Pelodiscus sinensis: one gene and its partner. The protein of the gene in region 1 interacts with the protein of each later gene in a pairwise test. Links are inferred from orthologs where the notes say so. Each region holds a gene or a part of one and is shown on either strand. Other genes may lie near its edges.

Region 1 (9,883 bases):
CCAGGTGACCAGTAAGTTTGAACTGTACACTTGCTTCAGCCCCCTGGTGACCAAAGCTGGTGCTATCAATGTTCTCACCAAGCTGTTGCGCTGGATCAAGAAGGAGGAGGACCGGCTTTTCATTCGCTACCCCCCCAAGTACTCCACCACACCCAACCCAGGGAAGGGCACCAAGGGCGGCCGGCCCGACGGCGCTGAGAATGGATTTTTTGCTGGCCTCTAAGCCTGGTTTTGCTTCACCCGGGCCCCTGTTTCACCGGTGACTGGATAACGTGGGGGGAAATCTCTTCCTCCAGAGAAACCACTCTCTGTGATCTAGCTCAGGCGTGGCTGGTTCCTTCCAGGGCTCCTGCGATGTGTGGTTGCTTGTCTGTCTTATTTATTGGCCTACTTGTGTCTCCGAGCCTATGTTAAGGAGGCCTGGTTGGGGGAGGATGACGCCGGGCCTTGTTGCTTCACTTTTGAGCCTTGTGCGCTAGGCTGATGTGGGGCGCCAAGGGGCATGACAAGCTTACACTGGCTCCTGTGGCCTGTTACGGGAAGGGCCTGTGCTGAAGGACTCCACCCAAATGATGAAGCTGGGTTTGTGTATGGCATCTCCTCGACGGAAGTTTTTCTTCTAGTACTTGGCTCCTTTCCCCGGAGCCTCTGTTCTCTGCTTCCCAGTGTGGATCAGCTGCCGGTCCCTAAGCAATGGGTTGCAATTGTGTTTCTCCTTCCTTTGGAAGAATTGTGGCTAATTGCATCTCTTGGCATCAGAGCCCGACCTGCTTTGAACCCATTTTTCTAACACTCTCTGCTCTTTAAGTGTCCTAGCCTGGAATGAACTTAGATTTCTTGCAGGACCTGGAGGTCTGTGGCTCATGTTTGATAATAGATTTAGCTGGGTGCTGTGTCTGGAAACAGCGGCTCATGTTTGCCAACCGATTTAAACTGGGCGCTGTGTCTGGAAACGGCAATATGTGCGGTGGAAAGGAGATTACTCCTTCATCTCCTCCTCTCCGTCCCCCGCACATGCTGCTCTCGATGCTGTAAATCGGAAATGGGAGATGCCCCCCATGTTGTGTTCTCTCTCCATGGGCTGGTTGTGTTAGTTAATGTCTGCACCAATGCACTCTCCTCTGTATTAATGTCTGCACCAATGCAGGGGTCTGTATTAATTTAATGTTCCCTTTTGGAAAGGCAGATCCTTTCACAGGAAGATTCAAAATGCTTTTTGAAAGCAACAGACTGCCTCTCTCCTTTGCTGGTGACAGCTGCGCCCTGCCTTACGGTAAATGGGCTGCCCCTTGGCTCTTTTCAGTCTCGTTGTCCATCCGGGCTGCTAGAAGGGCTGTTTGGGGCCTCAGCCGTGGGCTCGAGCCAGAATCTGTGGGATCTGCTTCACCCAGGAAGATCACCCCATGTCTCCGGAGAGCGAGCCCTGCCTGCATCTCCTTTCACTTGCATCTAGCTGCTCCAAGGAGACCTGGCGGGGTTGGGGAAGTGGAAAGTGTTTTCACATGCATGAGGCGCTGTGCCTGGAACCGGCGTGGCTGGCTGTCAAATGAGGTCTCTTCCTGGCTGGCTTGTGGAACTGAGAATCAAAGTCTTATTAAAAAGTTGTTTTGATGAGGGTGTATCTGCCTTGCTTGCTAGCCAGCACGGAGGCTGTAGCCATGAGGAGGAGGAATTGGTGCTTTCTAAATACTAGCTGTGTTGGGATTTCTGCTATAGGGAGCTGTGGATGCACACCAGAGGTCTTGTGTCGATTTTAATACGCTCACCTGTGGATATATGTCGGCTCACAGATGAGCTTGCCCCAAACGTTGTCACACTAACCCTCTGCCTGAGGTTGGCGTTTTCCATCCCGTCAGCCCCGTTCTTTTTGACAGGGGCGAGCAAGGCAAGATGTGATTCCAAATTCGCTGCACTCATTTTTCTCCTCCAGGAGCCTCTTTTCTTCTCGCTGTGTGTTCCACTTAGTTACAGGTGCAGAGGTGGTTATTCATATCTAAGTATTATACCTGCTGTGGGCTGTGTTCCTTCCGCAGCTGCTGGGCTCATTCAGAAGGGAGAGGTACACAAATTGGAGATAAATCGGGCACTAGTTCCAGCAGCGAACTGTGTCTTTTGGGCCAAACCTCTGTCGTTTCACGTGTGAACTGCTGGCGATGGAGGTATGCAACTTTATGGCAGCTGGGGCTCATCTTGCCAGTCAGTCCTTAGCACACGGTCGCTCTGTCTCCCATAAGGAGCACATAACAGGCAGCAAGTTCAGCCGCTCTTGAAGAGGGAAGGAGCGCAGCAAGGCATGGTAGAAAGGTTATGACCGATTCTTATTCACAGCTGTTTTTTCTGGGGTATTGCACCCTGGACCGCAGGCTGTTACTTGACTCTTGTGTGTGCTGATGTGGTGCAGAGAGAGCTGTTGTGCAGAAACGAAGCTACCAGCTGCGCTAGCAAGTTAACCTTGCTACTACAACATTGGAAATAGAAGCATGGACCCAACCAGAGTCCAAAATACCCAGGCGAGCCTCCCGGCTGTTATTTTAAGATGCAGCTCGCGCTCACACCATGCTGTAAGCTGTGTGCATGGGCTCTGCAGAAGGAGATGGGCCTGTGCAAGGAAGGCAGCTGCTGCCTGGAGAGGTCTGGTCCGCTATCCACCCCCGGGCTCCATGCACCAGGAATCTATCTGCACGGGTTGGGGAGGCAGAAACAAGCAATGGCCAGCTGCCTAGCTCAGGCTCCTGCACTTGTCGGGCCACTGAGGTACAGGAGCAGGCTAGGCCTCTGTCCAGTCACTGCCAGCCCTCGCGCATCGCTCGTTCCCTGCCAGTCGTTAGAGCTCCCTATCCCGTACCATCTTCCCAAGCCAATTACCCTCCCTCCCAGCTATGGCCCTTCTCTATGGGGGAGTCTCCCAGGCTGCTAACCACTAGCACATCCTCCCAGGACCCTGCCTTCATGGTGGAGCTCAAGGACCACTGGAGATGTCCTATGTGGGGGAGCGTGGATGTAATCTAGCCCTGTCACAGAAGGCTGGGATGAGCTTAGCCTGGTGTTGGGACAAGGGAGGAGCAGCTGCAGGTCCCATGCTCCAGGGTAGCTGCCTATGGTTCCCTGCTCTAACCCACTGGGACCCCCAAACTGAGTAGAGACCCCCCCACAGCCAGGGGGAGAACCCAGGAATCTTGGCTCCCTGCTCCCCTCCATAGCCCTCAGCCAGGAAAAGAACTCAGGAGGCTGGGCTCCCAGCCCCCCCACCCAGCCAGGGGGAGAACCCAGGGGGAGAACCCAGGAACCCTGTCTCCCAGCCCCCCCAGCTACGGGGAGAACCCAGGAGCCCTGTCTCCCAGTCCCCCCCCCCAGCCAGGGGGAGAACCCAGGAGCCCTGTCTCCCAGCCCCTCCCCCAGCCAGGGGGAGAACCCAGGAGCCCTGTCTCCCAGCCCCCCCCCCCCCAGCCAGGGGGAGAACCCAGGAACCCTGTCTCCCAGCCCCTCCCCCAGCCAGGGGGAGAACCCAGGAGCCCTGTCTCCCAGCCCCCCCCCCCCCAGCCAGGGGGAGAACCCAGGAACCCTGTCTCCCAGCCCCCCCCCCCCAGCCAGGGGGAGAACCCAGGAACCCTGTCTCCCAGCCCCCCCCCCCAGCCAGGGGGAGAGCCCAGGAACCCTGTCTCCCAGCCCCCCCCCCGCCCCACAGCCAGGGGGAGAACCCAGGAACCCTGTCTCCCAGCCCCCCCGCCCCACAGCCAGAGGGAGAGCCCAGGAACCCTGTCTCCCAGCCCCCCCCGCCCCACAGCCAGGGGGAGAACCCAGGAACCCTGTCTCCCAGCCCCCCCGCCCCACAGCCAGAGGGAGAGCCCAGGAACCCTGTCTCCCAGCCCCCCACGCCCCACAGCCAGGGGGAGAACCCAGGAACCCTGTCTCCCAGCCCCCCCGCCCCATAGCCAGGGGGAGAGCCCAGGAACCCTGTCTCCCAGCCCCCCCGCCCCACAGCCAGAGGGAGAGCCCAGGAACCCTGTCTCCCAGCCCCCCCCCCCGCCCCACAGCCAGGGGGAGAACCCAGGAACCCTGTCTCCCAGCCCCCCCGCCCCCCAGCCAGGGGGAGAGCCCAGGAACCCTGTCTCCCAGCCCCCCCGCCCCCCAGCCAGGGGGAGAACCCAGGAACCCTGTCTCCCAGCCCCCCCAGCCAGGGGGAGAACCCAGGAACCCTGTCTCCCAGGCCCCCCCCCCCCCAGCCAGGGGGAGAGCCCAGGAACCCTGTCTCCCAGCCCCCCCCCCCCCCAGCCAGGGGGAGAGCCCAGGAGCCCTGTCTCCCAGCCCCCCCCCCAGCCAGGGGGAGAGCCCAGGAACCCTGTCTCCCAGCCCCCCCCCCCCGCCCCACAGCCAGGGGGAGAACCCAGGAACCCTGTCTCCCAGCCCCCCCGCCCCACAGCCAGAGGGAGAGCCCAGGAACCCTGTCTCCCAGCCCCCCCCCGCCCCACAGCCAGAGGGAGAGCCCAGGAACCCTGTCTCCCAGCCCCCCCGCCCCATAGCCAGGGGGAGAGCCCAGGAACCCTGTCTCCCAGCCCCCCCCGCCCCACAGCCAGAGGGAGAGCCCAGGAACCCTGTCTCCCAGCCCCCCCCCGCCCCACAGCCAGGGGGAGAACCCAGGAACCCTGTCTCCCAGCCCCCCCGCCCCCCAGCCAGGGGGAGAGCCCAGGAACCCTGTCTCCCAGCCCCCCCGCCCCACAGCCAGGGGGAGAACCCAGGAACCCTGTCTCCCAGCCCCCCCAGCCAGGGGGAGAACCCAGGAACCCTGTCTCCCAGCCCCCCCCCCCAGCCAGGGGGAGAGCCCAGGAACCCTGTCTCCCAGCCCCCCCCCCCCCCCCAGCCAGGAGGAGAGCCCAGGAACCCTGTCTCCCAGCCCCCCCCCCCAGCCAGGGGGAGAGCCCAGGAACCCTGTCTCCCAGCCCCCCCCCCCCCCAGCCAGGAGGAGAGCCCAGGAACCCTGTCTCCCAGCCCCCCCCCCACCCAGGGGGAGAACCCAGGAACCCTGTCTCCCAGCCCCCCCAGCCAGGGGGAGAACCCAGGAACCCTGTCTCCCAGCCCCCCCCCCCCCCAGCCAGGAGGAGAGCCCAGGAACCCTGTCTCCCAGCCCCCCCCCCCACCCAGGGGGAGAACCCAGGAACCCTGTCTCCCAGCCCCCCCAGCCAGGGGGAGAACCCAGGAACCCTGTCTCCCAGCCCCCCCCCCCCCCCAGCCAGGGGGAGAGCCCAGGAACCCTGTCTCCCAGCCCCTCCCCCAGCGAGCAGTTAGCCCCTCCTCTTTGGAAGGGGGCGGGGCCCTAGCCATTGGAAAACACGGCACGAGCCCCGGAGGGGGCGGGGCCGCAGCAGCCGTTGGAAAAAGGCGGGAAAAAAGCGTAGGAGGGGCAGTTTCAAGGCTTCCCCTTCCACCCGCGGTGCGACTAGGCGCAGGTGTTAAGGCCCCCCCAGCTCTCTGGACACAGGGCCATGGAGAGGAGTGGACAGAGTGAGGGGGATGGGCGGAGGGGGCACAGCTCCAGCCCCACAGCGCAGGGCGCCCATGGCAGTTACATAGCACCAAGGGGGGCGTCCCACAGCGCCCTGCCCCCTCACGCCAAGGGGGGCGCCCCACAGCGCCCTGCCCCCTCACACCAAGGGGGGCGTCTCACAGCGCCCTGCCCCCTCACACCAAGGGGGGCGTCTCACAGCGCCCTGCCCCCTCACGCCAAGGGGGGTGTCCCACAGCGCCCTGCCCCCTCACGCCAAGGGGTGCCCCACAGCACCCTGCCCCCTCACGCCAAGGGGGGCGCCCCACAGCGCCCTGCCCCCTCACACTGGGGGGTGCCCCACAGCGCCCTGCTTCCTCACACCGGGGGGTGCCCCACAGCGCCCTGCCCCCTCACGCCAAGGGGGGTGCCCCACAGCGCCCTGCCCCCTCACACCAAGGGGGAGCGTTCCACAGCGCCCTGCCCCCTCACGCCAAGGGGGGCGTCCCACAGCGCCCTGCTCCCTCACGCCAAGGGGGGCGCCCCACTGCGCCCTGCCCCCTCACACCGGGGGGGCGTCCCACAGCGCCCTGCTCCCTCACGCCAAGGGGGGTGTCCCACAGCGCCCTGCCCCCTCACACCGGGGGGCGCCCCACAGCGCCCTGCTTCCTCACACCGGGGGGTGCCCCACAGCGCCCTGCCCCCTCACGCCAAGGGGGGCGCCCCACAGCGCCCTGCCCCCTCACACCAAGGGGGAGCGTTCCACAGCGCCCTGCCCCCTCACGCCAAGGGGGGGGCGCCCCACTGTGCCCTGCCCCCTCACACCGGGGGGGCGTCCCACTGCGCCCTGCCCCCTCACACCGGGGGGTGCCCCACTGCGCCCTGCCCCCTCATGCCAAGGGGGGCGCCCCACAGCGCCCTGCCCCCTCACACCGGGGTGGGGGGTGTCCCACTGCGCCCTGCCCCCTCACACCGGGGTGGGGGGTGTCCCACTGCGCCCTGCCCCCTCACGCCAAGGGGGGCGCCCCACAGCGCCCTGCCCCCTCACGCCAAGGGGGGCGCCCCACAGCGCCCTGCTCCCTCACACCAAGGGCGGGCGTCTCACAGCGACCTGCTCCCTCACACCGGAGGGCGCCCCACAGCGCCCTGCCCCCTCACGCCAAGGGGGGCGCCCCACAGCGCCCTGCCCCCTCACGCCAAGGGCGGTGCCCCACAGTGCCCTGCCCCCTCACATCGGGGGGCGTCCCACAGCACCCTGCTCCCTCACGCCAAGGGGGCGTCTCACAGCGCCCTGCTCCCTCACACGTTGGGCCACGGTACCCTTGTTGCCCCCACCAGGGACCAGCAAGCCCCCAATGCCTTCCTCCCACCAAGCAGGGGTTAGCGCCAAGGCAATCCCACAGTGCCCGTCTCCCTCGTGCCCTGGGCTGGATAAAGCCGAGTCCAGCCTGCAATGCCTTCTCTAGCCCGTTGTGGGGGCGGGTAAATCCCCAGTTACAGGCTCGGGGGGAATTCTCAAAGCAATTGATTTTTTTGTTTCCTCTTCCCAGTTCCCAGCAGCTTCACGCCCAAGGCAGAGGAGCTGCTAGTGCTGGTGAAACAACTGCAGGATGGTACCCACGAGCTGGGTGTGGTGTTTAAGCAACCGGGAATCAGGGTCCTCTCCCCAGCTCTGGAAGGAGATTGGGACACGTTGGTCGGGGGGGGGGGGGGCAGCTAGGCGCTAGGAGTCCTGGGCTCTGTACCTGGCCCTGCAAGGGGAGTAGGGTCCAGTGGTTGGGGTGGGGGGGGGGGGGGGGAAGCTGGGATTCTTGGGTTCTACCTCCAGGTCTAGGAAAGGAGTGGGACCTAGAGGCGGGGCGGGGGGGGAGGCCTGCAAGCCAGGACACTTGGGTTTTCTCCCCAGCTCTGGGAGGAGGGGGGCATCTAGCCTGGAGTCTGTAAGGGGGGGGCTCTTGTTCTTTTCCTGGCTCTGCCCATGACTTTCGGTGTGACTTCTCTGTGTCTCAGTCCCCTGCCCCTCCGTAAGCGGAGCCAGGAATAACCGCTTCCCCCCCGGGCACGCTCCAAAGAGCTGGGGGTGAAGGACCCTTGTCAGGAGCACAACCAGGCAAGCCCTTCCCCTTCCCTCCGCAGCAGGGACACTGGAGCCCCGAATGGACGACCTGGTAGGAAGGCTCAGGAAACTGCAGCGAGGTGAGGGGAGGGGAGGGGAAGGGAAGGGAGAGTGCTCCCGTTACAGCCTGTTCCCCCGCACCCTCATTGCCGGGACCGTAGCACTGCCCCCCATGTCCCCGCCAACATTTGAATTGCTAAATAGGGGTATGTCTACACTACCGCCCTAGTTCGAACTAGGGTGGTTAATGTAGGCAACCGAAGTTGCAAATGAAGCCTGGGATTTGAATTTCCCGGGCTTCATTTGCATATTGCCGGGCGCCGCCATTTTTAAATGTCCGCTAGTTCGGACTCTGTGCCCACGGCTACACGCGGCACGGACTAGGTAGTTCGGATTAGGCTTCCTATTCCGAACTACCGTTACTCCTCGTGGAACCCCTCTGTCTACCCCTCCCCACGTACACCCCTCCGTCTATCCACCCCTCCTCATTACACACCCCACCTCTCCAGCCCCAAAGAAGTCTCTCTCTCTCTCTCCTCACCTTCCCCCCAACCCGCTTGGTCTTGCCATAGCTAAGCAGGCTCTGAGCCAGGAGCTGCAGGACAGCCAGGCGCGCAGCAAGGAATTGCAGGAAGAGCTGGAGGAGCGTAAGTCACCCCCGCCCGGCACGGTTCCACGTTGCTCCTCAGGTCATTGGGTCGGATTCTCCAAGGAGCCTGTCTCCTGCCGGGCCGCGGCTTCCTGCTTCGTATCTGCGGGTCACTGCCTCCGTGGATGTGGTTGCAGAAATCCGGGGATCGTTTCTGTGCCCACGGATACAAATGTTGTGCCCTCTCAGGGCTCTATTAATCACTCGAAGGATTTGGGCCATGGGATCTTCTGAGCTCTCTGACAGCAGCCCCCTTTTGCACTGCAGACAACACCCCTACCCGGCTGCATGCTCGGGGGCTGGACCCCCTGTCAGCAGGTGGGATATGTCCCCACATCCCAGAGGACACGGGTAGAGCCCTGTGCGGACCTGTATCCGCACCCACAAAAAGAGCCGTGGAGATCTGCCTTGCCATCCGCAGAGGCGCAGCCCATGGCTAGAAAGCGGATATCTGCAGGCTCGCAGGGCACTCGATTCGGGTCCCAGCCTGGTTGTTTCCCGCCCCCCTCTTGCAGTGAACGTGGAGAAGTCGAACCTGGAGGAAATCTGCAGCCAGAAGCAAGGTGAGAGCAGGCTTTTACCAGGAGGGAAGGCAGCTTGACTGAGGGACACAGGAAGGGCTGGACCGCCGGGGGAGGGTGCTGACCGTGTCCGTCCAGCGCTTTGAGACCCACCCATGAGACGGGCTTGAGAAGAGACAGGTGTGATCGTTACCAGCTTGCATACCGTGTGGGCTCCTGTGTGGCCCCTCCCAGCCCCCTCTGTTAAAGAGACTTCGTTCTCTCTCCTGCCGGGGGGGCTGTGTCCCCCAGTTACCCCCACCGGGGGCTCTGTGTGTCCCCTTTGCCCCCTGCCCTCACACCAGGGTCCCCCAATTTCCCCCATCCCAGGCCCTCTGTGTGTCCTCCATTCCCCATCCTCTCATAGCAGGGTTCCCTGCCCCCATCTGTCTGGCAATCTTCTCTTCGGTCCATTGGAGCTGCCCGAGGGCAGGCCGGAGCGAGCCCCTGGGCTGTGGGGTGGCCCCAGCAGGGAGCCAGGACCCCTGCACTAACACTTCTGTTCCCTCCAGAGCTGCTCCGGACCCTGCAGCTCCGCTCCCAGGAGACGGAGGCGGAAGGCCAGAGGTGAAAGGGGCAGGAGGGAGGGATGGAGATGCAGAAGGGGTGGGGGGATATAGCGGGGTAGTCACAAGGGGGGTCTGAGAGACAGAGAGGGGAGGAGTCCTGCGTTCTCCCCCAGGGCTCTGGGAGAGGAGGGAGGTCCAGGTGACTTGCGGGGGGGGGGGGGGGCGAGGGCTGGGAGCCAGGACCCCTGGGTTCTGGTCGTGTTGTTGCCTGACGTTGTTGCTTCTGCTTCCCTGCCCCTGTCGAGTCACCTGGGGAAGGTGTTTCGGGGCCCTCTTTGTCCCCAGCCACCTCTGGGAGCCAGGCGGCCGGCTTACCAGGCTGGGCTGCTTGGGTTGCAGGCAGCAGGCGCTGACCCAGGAGCGGAAGCAGCACATCGAGGAGCTGGCGGCCAAGATCCAGGAGGAGAAGCTGAAGCAGAGGAAACACAGGTACCTACTGCCTGCCTCCCCACCCAACCCGGCCCTGCGCCCTGGAGATGGGCATGTGTCATACCCAGCACCTACGCTCCG
Region 2 (9,287 bases), on another chromosome or scaffold:
ATGGCTAATATGTTTGCCATAATACTTCGGTTTCACAATGGGTTCCATGCTTCCCCTGCTATGGCATCTGCACAGATAATCCGGGGGGAAAGAGCATGAAAAGACTGTTTGCCATTGCTTTCAAGCAGTACGGGAGGGAGGAGACGAATGCATTATGGGACACTGATGATATGTACCCAGAACCACCCACTACATAGTTTTGATCCCAGCATGCACTAGGCTCATAACCCAGAATGCAAAGGGGAGACAGGAACTTTGGGCATTGCTCTCAAAGTCAACGGTGGCCACCCTACTGGGGGTTCACTACTTTGAACAACGCTGAATTCTTGCACACAGTGGGGACATGCACCTTTGACTTGACAAAAGCAGGTGCTAAAAAAAAAAAAAATCAATCTTAATAAATTCAACCTTATCTCATAGTGTAGACAAGGCCTTAGTTAGCTGGCACTTATTTAATTCAATTTGAAACCAAACCACAAAATCTACTCTAAGCATTCCAAGAGACAACTTCCTCACAGTGAAAACTGTTAGGGTGTAGAACAGTCACCAAAACGAGAAGTTGTAGGAGCCCTACCACTGGAGTTATTTAAAACTGAATTGGACGTCATAATAGAGCGTGTATTATATGCAGCCTGCAAGTTGCCCCTAAAAAGCAACTAAGGATCAGTGCAGCATAGGCAGTCTCACAAAATGTCCTCACATGTCCAGCATCCCTAACCGGCCATTTGAGGTGACATAGGAGCACCAAGATGGACAGATACTAATAAGAAATAAAGCAATCCTTTGATGAAAAAGTGGATATCTTGCTATTTTTTAATAAGGAAAACTAGTTTAAAAAAAAAGTAAGTTCTGTTGATTCCTACCCTTAACCTAAGTACATTGTACATTGGGGCTCTGTAATTTCTAATTTTAGCAGAAAACTTAGCTAAAGCCAGAACTGTAACCATAAAGTTTCTTTGCTGTCTTGTCACTAACTTGAAGTGGAAAAGGAACACACTTCAGTGTTAATATCACAGACATTTTCTGTACAGTCTAGCACCAAGTTAGTTGTTTATTACATTAAAAAAAAAAAGAGGTCAAAAATGTAATTCCTTTGTATGCGGGCTTGGGAGAGTCTCTCTGAAAGCTAACTAGTTGGGAATAATGGATATGACATTTCACACAAAAAAATTGTTTGCAAAATTTAAAGAAAGCAAAATTACACGAGGCCAAATTCTGTAAAATAGTCTCTAATTTTGGGCTCCTCAATTCTTGGGTGGCCAAGTTGAGTAAGTAGTGGCCTGATTTTTCAACCCACAGCTCCCATTTGACTGCAGTTAGAGCAAAACCTCCGGAAATCAAGCCCTGGTTTTCTAAAGCTGGATAGTCAGAACCTGGGACACCTAAAAATAGGGACACTTTGAAGAATTTGGACATATTTTCTCAGCTTTCACTCTATAGGGCTTATATCATCACCATGTTCCTTTATATATAATAAAGGCAAACTGCAATGTGCTGTGATGTACACCAAGAGTTAATAACAGAATCTAAATAGCTCATGCTCTTTTTTCTCTCTCTCCTTAGGACCATCTGTCTGAGCCACGTTCCCCAGCCAATGGTGATTACAGAGACAGTGGGATGGTCCTTGTTAACCCCTTTTGTCAAGAAACGCTATTTGTAGGACATGAGCAAGTGTCTGAAATATGATCCCACACCTGCCCTTGTATTGCAGTTCCATCTTTAGTGTCTCCAAATTATAAATAAATATATATATTATAAATATAATCTTTGTGTAACCCTGAATTATGAGAAATGTTTTCAGCTTTTTTCCCCTAAAAATTGTCAACTTCTTTTTTATAAGTGTGGTAAAACTTTACAGAAAACTGTGGCTTTATAAAATAAAAGTATTTCTAAGCAAAACACCTACTGAACCAACTGCTTTTCCTGCTATCATTTACTAACTGCTTTTACAAAATGCTTAGTCAGTATCGTCACTACGGAAGGTTAGCCTCTCTGAAGACTGTGCTTATTTGGTACTGCACAGGACTCTTTTTCCAAGGGACAGGCCTCTGCTGTACACTGGGAACCCCACCGTTCATTAGGTTTCACCAGTTGTAGTCATGTCTGGCTATAGAATCCCTCACCAGGAACTCATGACCAATGTAAAAAGCAAAGACTCGGGATAGCTTCTTCAAAACAAGTATGATTTTGGTTCATAGAAATGTAACTAGCAGACAAAAAACGGGTAAAACAATAAAAGACTGACCACACATTTTCATACCAAAACTTAAGTCTTTCTTTGCTAATTTAAACAGGCCCTTAACTTATCCAACTCTGAGAATCAGCTTGCCTCTCCCTAGACTGCCTATCTAGGTCTCCTAGAATCTCCCCCTCTTGGTCATGCTTCTTTGATCAGAACCAAAGCTTTTTGTTTTTATGTCTCACCATGACCTTCCCCCTTCCCCTCCTCACGAGTGCTTTGAGTTTAGGTGAAACATAAAAGGTAATAACTGTGGTGTAGTCTTGCGGAGTACTGATCATAACACTTAGTCTGAAATCACTGACATTTTTTGCCGGAATTAACTCTAGTAGTCACAGAGCCAGCAATGCAGTAACAATCACAGAAATGCAAGGCTGGAAGGGACCTCTAGTGTTCACCTAGTCCAGTCCTCTGCACTAAGACCGGGGCAAGTAAACCTAGGCCATCCTTGACAATTGTATGTCCAACCTGTTCTTAAAAACCTCCACTGATGGGAATTCCACAGCTTCCCTTGAAAACTATTCCAAAGTTTAGCTATATAGTTAGAAAGCTTTTCCTAATATCAAACCTAAATCTCCCTTGCTGCAGATTAAGTCAAGTGTTTATTTTCCTATCTTCAATGGTCATGGGTAACAATTGATCACCATCCTTTTTTTAACAGCTCTGAACATATTTAAACATGCACATACAATATTCATTAAGGGTGTGTCTAGACTACATGGTTCCGTCAACGGAGCCATATAGTCTAGACACACCCTAAGATAAAACAGACTTATCGCCCTTACTTGGTACACATTCCACATTAGATTCACTTGATAGAGCAAGTGCAGGAGATCTCATATGCTGAGATATGTTCTAGCTGTTTCTGTGTTATGAAAGAGACAGCACCACAGTGAGCCCCTCCTAGCACTCGCACTGTAGACCCAGACAGTGTGCTGATGCTAGCAGTTGTGGAGCTTTAGGGAATTGGCTACCAAGCCTGGCAGCAGTTCAGTCATTGTGCCAGTAGGGAATGGACAGCGAGATCAAGGGGTTGGAAAAGGCACTATCTCCTGTGAGCATCTAGCCGCACAAGCAGAGGAGATGAATGTTTCATCTTTTATTAAATGAGATATTTATGTACTGTGCTCCCACAGTGCTCTCAGAATACCTCCGTTCTTCTGCAACATCGCCAAATCCCCAGTACTCCTCCCATCAAACAGTGTTCATAGGAATCTGGATAGCACATAATATGCACAATTCTAAGAGAAGAACAGTGCTGTCAGGGACTAATCCCCTTCTCGTTCACAGGCAGCACTCACATTGAAGTCCTGGTGAGGATGCAAGATTTGCAGTAGATTCTATAGAACCAATAGATCGCGATCTACCAGTAGCTCTTGAGCCCTCTCTGAACTGCGCACCTTCGCAGTGCATTTACATTAGATTTCCTCATGTAATGTAGGCAGGGCTTCAAGGAAGGGGCGGGGCAGTAGATCTTCACCTGTTCTGAGACTTAAAAAGTGATCTTGGGTGTAAAAAGGTTGGAGACCACTGCTATAGGGTATAATGGCAGTAAAGGACATCCATCTTTTAAGCCTGCCTGCAAGCTGCAATAGCCAAATTAAAACCGTGGTGGGTAATAAGGAGCAAGATGTATTAAAAGTAGTAGAGAACATGAAAACTTTAATGCCATATCTAAAGCAGCGGTTCTCAAAAGGTGAGACGGGACCCCAAAGTGGGTACTGACCCCATTCTAATGAGGTCACCAGGACTGGCTTAGACTTGCTGCAGCAAAAGCCAGAGCCCCACCAGTCCTGGTTTCAGCCCTGGGCATCAGGGCTCAGATTACAGGCCCAGGATCTTGGGGCCACAAAAGCAGTTTAGACCCATCCCTTCAATAATGCTAAGACACTATTTTGAATCTGTGCCACAGTCTTCAGAGATTTATAAAACCATAGCTGCTAAGGACAGAATGGATATCATGGGTCATTTGGTTCATCTCTTTAAATCAGAGCAGTCTCGTTTCTCTTGCTCTCTAAATCAGTAGATTTATTGTCAAGTTATTGTAGATGGCTATGGACATTGAGAGGATTCAGGTGCACATGCTTAGTGGAGAGACAAAAGCTGTGCATCCCTCTATCCTTAACTCTGGTGAATGAAGGATAAACGCAGTATTTGATGAGCATCAGATCTGATTAGGGCTTAAACTCCACCAGCAGTTTGGCCTGTGGAAAAGGCTGCAGGACACCACACACAGGCTGTGTCTACACTGCACCCCTTTTCCGGAAAAGGGATGCAGATTAGACACTTCAGAATTGCAAATCCGCGGGGGATTTAAATATCCCCCATGGCATTTGCATTTACATGGCTGCCGCTCTTTTCCGGCTTGGGGATAAGCTGGAGAAAAGCGCCAGTCTAGACGCAATTCTCCGGAAAATAAGCCCTTTTCCGGAGGATTTCTTATTCCTACTTTCAATTTGGAAAAAAGCGGCAGCCATGTAAATGCAAATGCCGCGGGGGATATTTAAATCCCCCGTGGATTTGCAATTCCGAAGTGTCTAATCTGCATCCCTTTTCCGGAAAAGGGGTGCAGTGTAGACACAGCCACTGTGTATTTATAATCTGAAGCATAAAAGAAGAGTGAACAGAGCTAAACTCATTTCTTCCTCAAAGACGCAGGTACAATTCCCATTGGGTTAAATAAGAGCTGTACTTATTTCTCTAAGGGCTGAATTGTCAAACTTGGTTATATGAGCGGACTGGAAATAGTACAATATAGATTATCTGTCACAATGTGTATACATATGTGCATAGGCTTTGAGTCACACCTGCTAGTATTAAGGGTGTCAATTCAAATTTCACTCCCTTGTGCCAGCAACAGTCACTACACCAAAAGGGGATTCACCCCTGTAGAAAGGAAAGTGGGATTTATGCCACCAACATCTCCTCAAGGTACTTCCAAGGGAGTGTTCCCTTCAGCTCACCAGTGGAGTTTTCTAGAAGGCCTCCTTCACAGGTTCCCTAATCAGGTCACTGATTTAGTACATTCCCTAGCATGTCATGGCCATCACTAGGGCCCTACCAAATTCTCGGTCTATTCTGATCAATTTAACAGATGGAGGGTTTTAAAAAGTGTCCATTTTCATGATTTCAGATGTTGATATGTGAACTTTTATGGGGTTGTAACTATGGGGGTCTTGACCCAAAATGGGATAGGGAGAGGCTGCAAAGTTGAGAAGGGATCCCAAGTTTGCCACCCTGACTTCTGTGCTGCCTTCGGGGCTGAGGTGGAGATGGTGCCTAGAGGTGCCAGAGATTTCCAGCTGCTCTCCCAGGCCAGTGGCAGAGTAAGGCAGGCATTCCCAGCTAATTTGGGGGCCTGCAATAAAAATGGGTGCCCCAGACCTAGAAGAAGTCCTGGGGCAATAGCTTCAACTCAGTACCCCAAGTCCCAGCAGGAGCCTCCAAGGAAGGAAGCCCAGAGTGCCAGGGCCACAGAGAAGCTGTGGAAGAGGGGGGAGAAGCCCAGAGCCTGGGCAGCCTTAGCCACAGCCATTGGGAGTGGAAGTTCACAGCCCCAGCAAGAATCACTTGGGAGGAAGCCCTGAGCTCGGTGCCCTGAGGGCAAGGGAGGGAGGAAAGCCCCGAGGCCTAGGCTGGAGCAGAAGCCACCCAACCCCAGCAGAAGCTGCCAGGGGAGGATGCCCTGAGCTCAGCACTCAGAGCATGCAGGAGTGGGGGCAGAAATCTAGGGTCCAGGCGACCCTGGCTGCAACTGCCAGGAGCAGAATCCCTCAGCACCAGCACAAGTCTCTGGGGCTACGTCTATACTGCACCCTTCTTCCTCAAAAGCTCATGCAAATGAAGCACGGAGTAGAATATCGTCACACTTCATTTGCATAAATAATTAGGGGGCCGTTTTTGCACAAGAGACTTTTGCGCAAAAACCCTCTCTTGCACAAGAGCTGTTCTTCCTCATTTTTTCAGAAGACAGAAGACATGATGTAGAAAAAATACATGCTGTCCCACATACCAGGAACCCTAGCTCCCATACCTAGGGAAACAAGCATTAAAAAAATTGTAATATACAGATGTTTTGGATGACATGGCTTAGAAAGGACATGATATTTCCATTTTGCATATACAAAGATGCTAATTCAATCTTAATATCTAGAACAAATGCATCTACCAATGTTCTCCAATTTCTGGGAAAGTATACACCACCACCACAGCATGACAAAAAGCTAGTGAATCTAACCATTCTGGCAACAGAAATTTCCCTGCATACTACAGATACCAAATCTGCCGTGCATTAACCTTCCTGATAACAAAAATATCAACATACTATACTATTCTGAAAAGGCTATGGGTGTTAGAAATCAACAAGGCATATAAAGCAGAGGAGTAAGACTAAATTACTACTAGAGACAGCAAACTAAATCACTACAAAATGCTGAACAGATTCCACTGGTACTCCACCAATTAGCTCCTATCCTAAAGGCTGATGATAGCAAAAAAAGATAGGGATTTAGGCTATGAGATTGCCTCAATATAACAAAATACTGGCTAGAAATCTGCCTTCCACAAAAAAACCCCAACAAAACAAAACAAGTTAGACAAACGACTATCAGCAATTATCTAATTATTATGTCAGCCTGCTTTGAGTACAGGGGAGTAGACTACATGACCTCTTGTGGTTCCTTACAGTTCTACACTTCCATGATAATCTAAATAGGACAATGCATGAAGTAAAGTACTTCTCAACATGAGTAAGGGTAAAAGAATCTAGCTGTGTGTATGTGTGCTCGCATGCACAATGTATATATAAAATGCTAAAAATCTGTCTGGCTTGCTGTCTAAAAAACAGCAGTACTATTTTACCATGTGCACTGTAAGGAGTTATTGTTCTGCATTCACTGTAAACAGCTTTGTCCTTTTCATACTTGCAGCAGTAGCAGCAGAGAGATTTCTCTTTAAATGGATTTGCTGACCCAATGAAAAGCCCCAATGTGACAAACATGCCTGTGACGATCAGTGAAACACAATGTTAACGTTCCAGAAGGGGACAAAGCAAAAACACAAAACCAAAAATCTGCTTGGGTCTGCACATCTGACCAGTGTGGGTATGGCACAAGGGGCTTCAAGGCAGAGGCAACTTTTTTTAGTGCAATAGATTCGAGCAACAGCATGCCCATGCCAAGACGCAGATCTTCATTCTTGGGGCAACAGCCATCTTCCTCCATGACTGAAAGCACTGGGGCTACCAGCCAAAGGTTAAGCATTGGAGGTGGAGGAAGCCTACCAAGATCTCGAGGTGTCTATGTGGGTATTGTCCCCACTGGAGGCATGAGCAGCCTAGGGACCCGCGTGTCCCGTAGAGCCCTAGGCATCAGCAGTGTCTTCTTACAAGGCCTGCGCAGTTCCTGTTCAGCTGTGCCATTATCTCAGGGGCTGGAGAAGGGAAGGGGCCTATCCTATGAAAGCCTGAACGGAAGCCTGGTGGAATACATAGAGAAAGTGAGAGCTCTAGAACAGGTCAATCAAGAGCTTGAAGAGCATATCAGAGTCTACCTGGAAAAGAAGTCATCCAATGTCAACAACTGGGAAGCACTGAGAGAAAACTGGGAAACTATCTATCATCAAGTGAGTACAAGATTTTTAACAATGACAAAGATGAGTGAATCATTAGCAAACCCCTAACAGTGGGTTTCGATGCTGATGATAAATGCAGCCTGATTCCAATGCACTATGTCTTGGATGAAGGATTTCAAATCTCCATCATAATTAGTATTATCATTTCACAGTGTATTGTGGAAAAGACTTATTAAACAGGAGAGGAGCTCCAGGCATTATGTACACGGGAGTGATTGAAGCGCACCCCGTGGTGTTATAGTCTGGCCTGATTAAAATCAAATCAGTTGTTTTCTCTTAGTTGTGGTTATTACAGTGAGGAACAGAATTATTAAATGAAAGCTACTAAGAATGAATGAGTTTATCCACCAACTTGATATCATCACAGTCTTGTTTAATTAGCAATTCAGAGTTCAGTTTTATTCTCTCATTTGTGTAATCACATTTTCAAAAGCTCTATTTAGTTAAAAGTAATAATTATATAACCACAACTGGATGGTTCCCACTTGGACACTCCTCCCCAACTCCTCAGCCCTTCACCACTCTCTATCCTCCACATAATCAGTGTTTTATACAGTGTTTTAAGGCGGCATATTCTGCACAAGAAAAAATATTTAGCAGCTGACTGTAAAATGGAAACTGTGTTTGTATCATGGATAATAATAATAATAATAATAAAAAATCTGGAAAGCCAACACAAACCTGCAAGTGATACTTTTTGTGGGGCTAATGAAAGGTCAATGCAAAAACAGCAGGTATTGGAATCTTTATGTTTCACTTGTGCAGTATGCAAAAAGCATACACTTTCATCTGAGATCTCAAACACTTTAAAAATATTTACCATCTAAGTCTCACAACATGTTTAAAGTAGGATGTTTTCTAACTGGGCAAAGGGAGGCATACATAGGCATAGTAACTTGCCTTGGAAAGACAATGGATCAATAGCAGAATCAAAAAGAGAATCCAAGTGTTCCGAGTCCTGATCATATTCTTTAGCCATCAGACTTGACTTTCTCCTGCTGGAGAATTAGTCCCTTTATTATAATTAGCAAAACAAGGTGGGAGAAGGAAAGACACTGTTTTAGTGTGGTCCAATGGATACAATACCCAACTGGGAGCCAGGAGACCAGGGATCAATTTTGAGCTCTGCCATTCATCAATTATGTATTCTTTGGCAAATCACTATCTTTCTGTACCTCAATTTCCCTATCTAGTAATAATTATGCTTTCCTCTTTTGTAAAAGCTTATGATTTTCAGATCTCAAAACTATAAGTGTTACTATTATATTGAGATTCAGTGAACGAATGGGAGCTGAGTAGGAAAATATTAGTTCTCTCTGACAATGAGTGCCAGACCCCAATAAACAGGGTAAGCTAATTCTTCCCTAATGTAACAGCTTGGCAGATTAAATGTCTGAGGAGTCATTTTTCCCCTTCA

Evidence for each region. The genes of interacting proteins can lie anywhere in the genome.
Region 2: the proteins of synaptonemal complex central element protein 1 (region 1) and BFSP2 interact in binary tests that used the Homo sapiens proteins (3 or more experiments, as listed by UniProt). The two-hybrid records come from large-scale screens. The link is inferred for Pelodiscus sinensis from reciprocal best matches to the Homo sapiens genes SYCE1 and BFSP2.

Annotation. Positions count from the first base shown.
Region 1 is NW_027465846.1:150,808-160,690, forward strand, and holds the start of synaptonemal complex central element protein 1, read left to right. Parts: upstream 1-5,379; 5' UTR 5,380-5,480; coding exon 5,481-5,499; intron 5,500-7,029; coding exon 7,030-7,092; intron 7,093-7,615; coding exon 7,616-7,675; intron 7,676-8,167; coding exon 8,168-8,242; intron 8,243-8,759; coding exon 8,760-8,807; intron 8,808-9,316; coding exon 9,317-9,371; intron 9,372-9,712; coding exon 9,713-9,802; intron 9,803-9,883. Other genes in the region: vacuolar fusion protein MON1 homolog B-like, read left to right, coding at 5-223. UniProt on the Homo sapiens protein: Major component of the transverse central element of synaptonemal complexes (SCS), formed between homologous chromosomes during meiotic prophase. Requires SYCP1 in order to be incorporated into the central element.
Region 2 is NC_134712.1:179,366,993-179,376,279, reverse strand, and holds the start of BFSP2 (phakinin), read left to right. Parts: upstream 1-4,755; 5' UTR 4,756-7,405; coding exon 7,406-7,861; intron 7,862-9,287. Other genes in the region: TMEM108 (transmembrane protein 108), read left to right, coding at 1,564-1,686.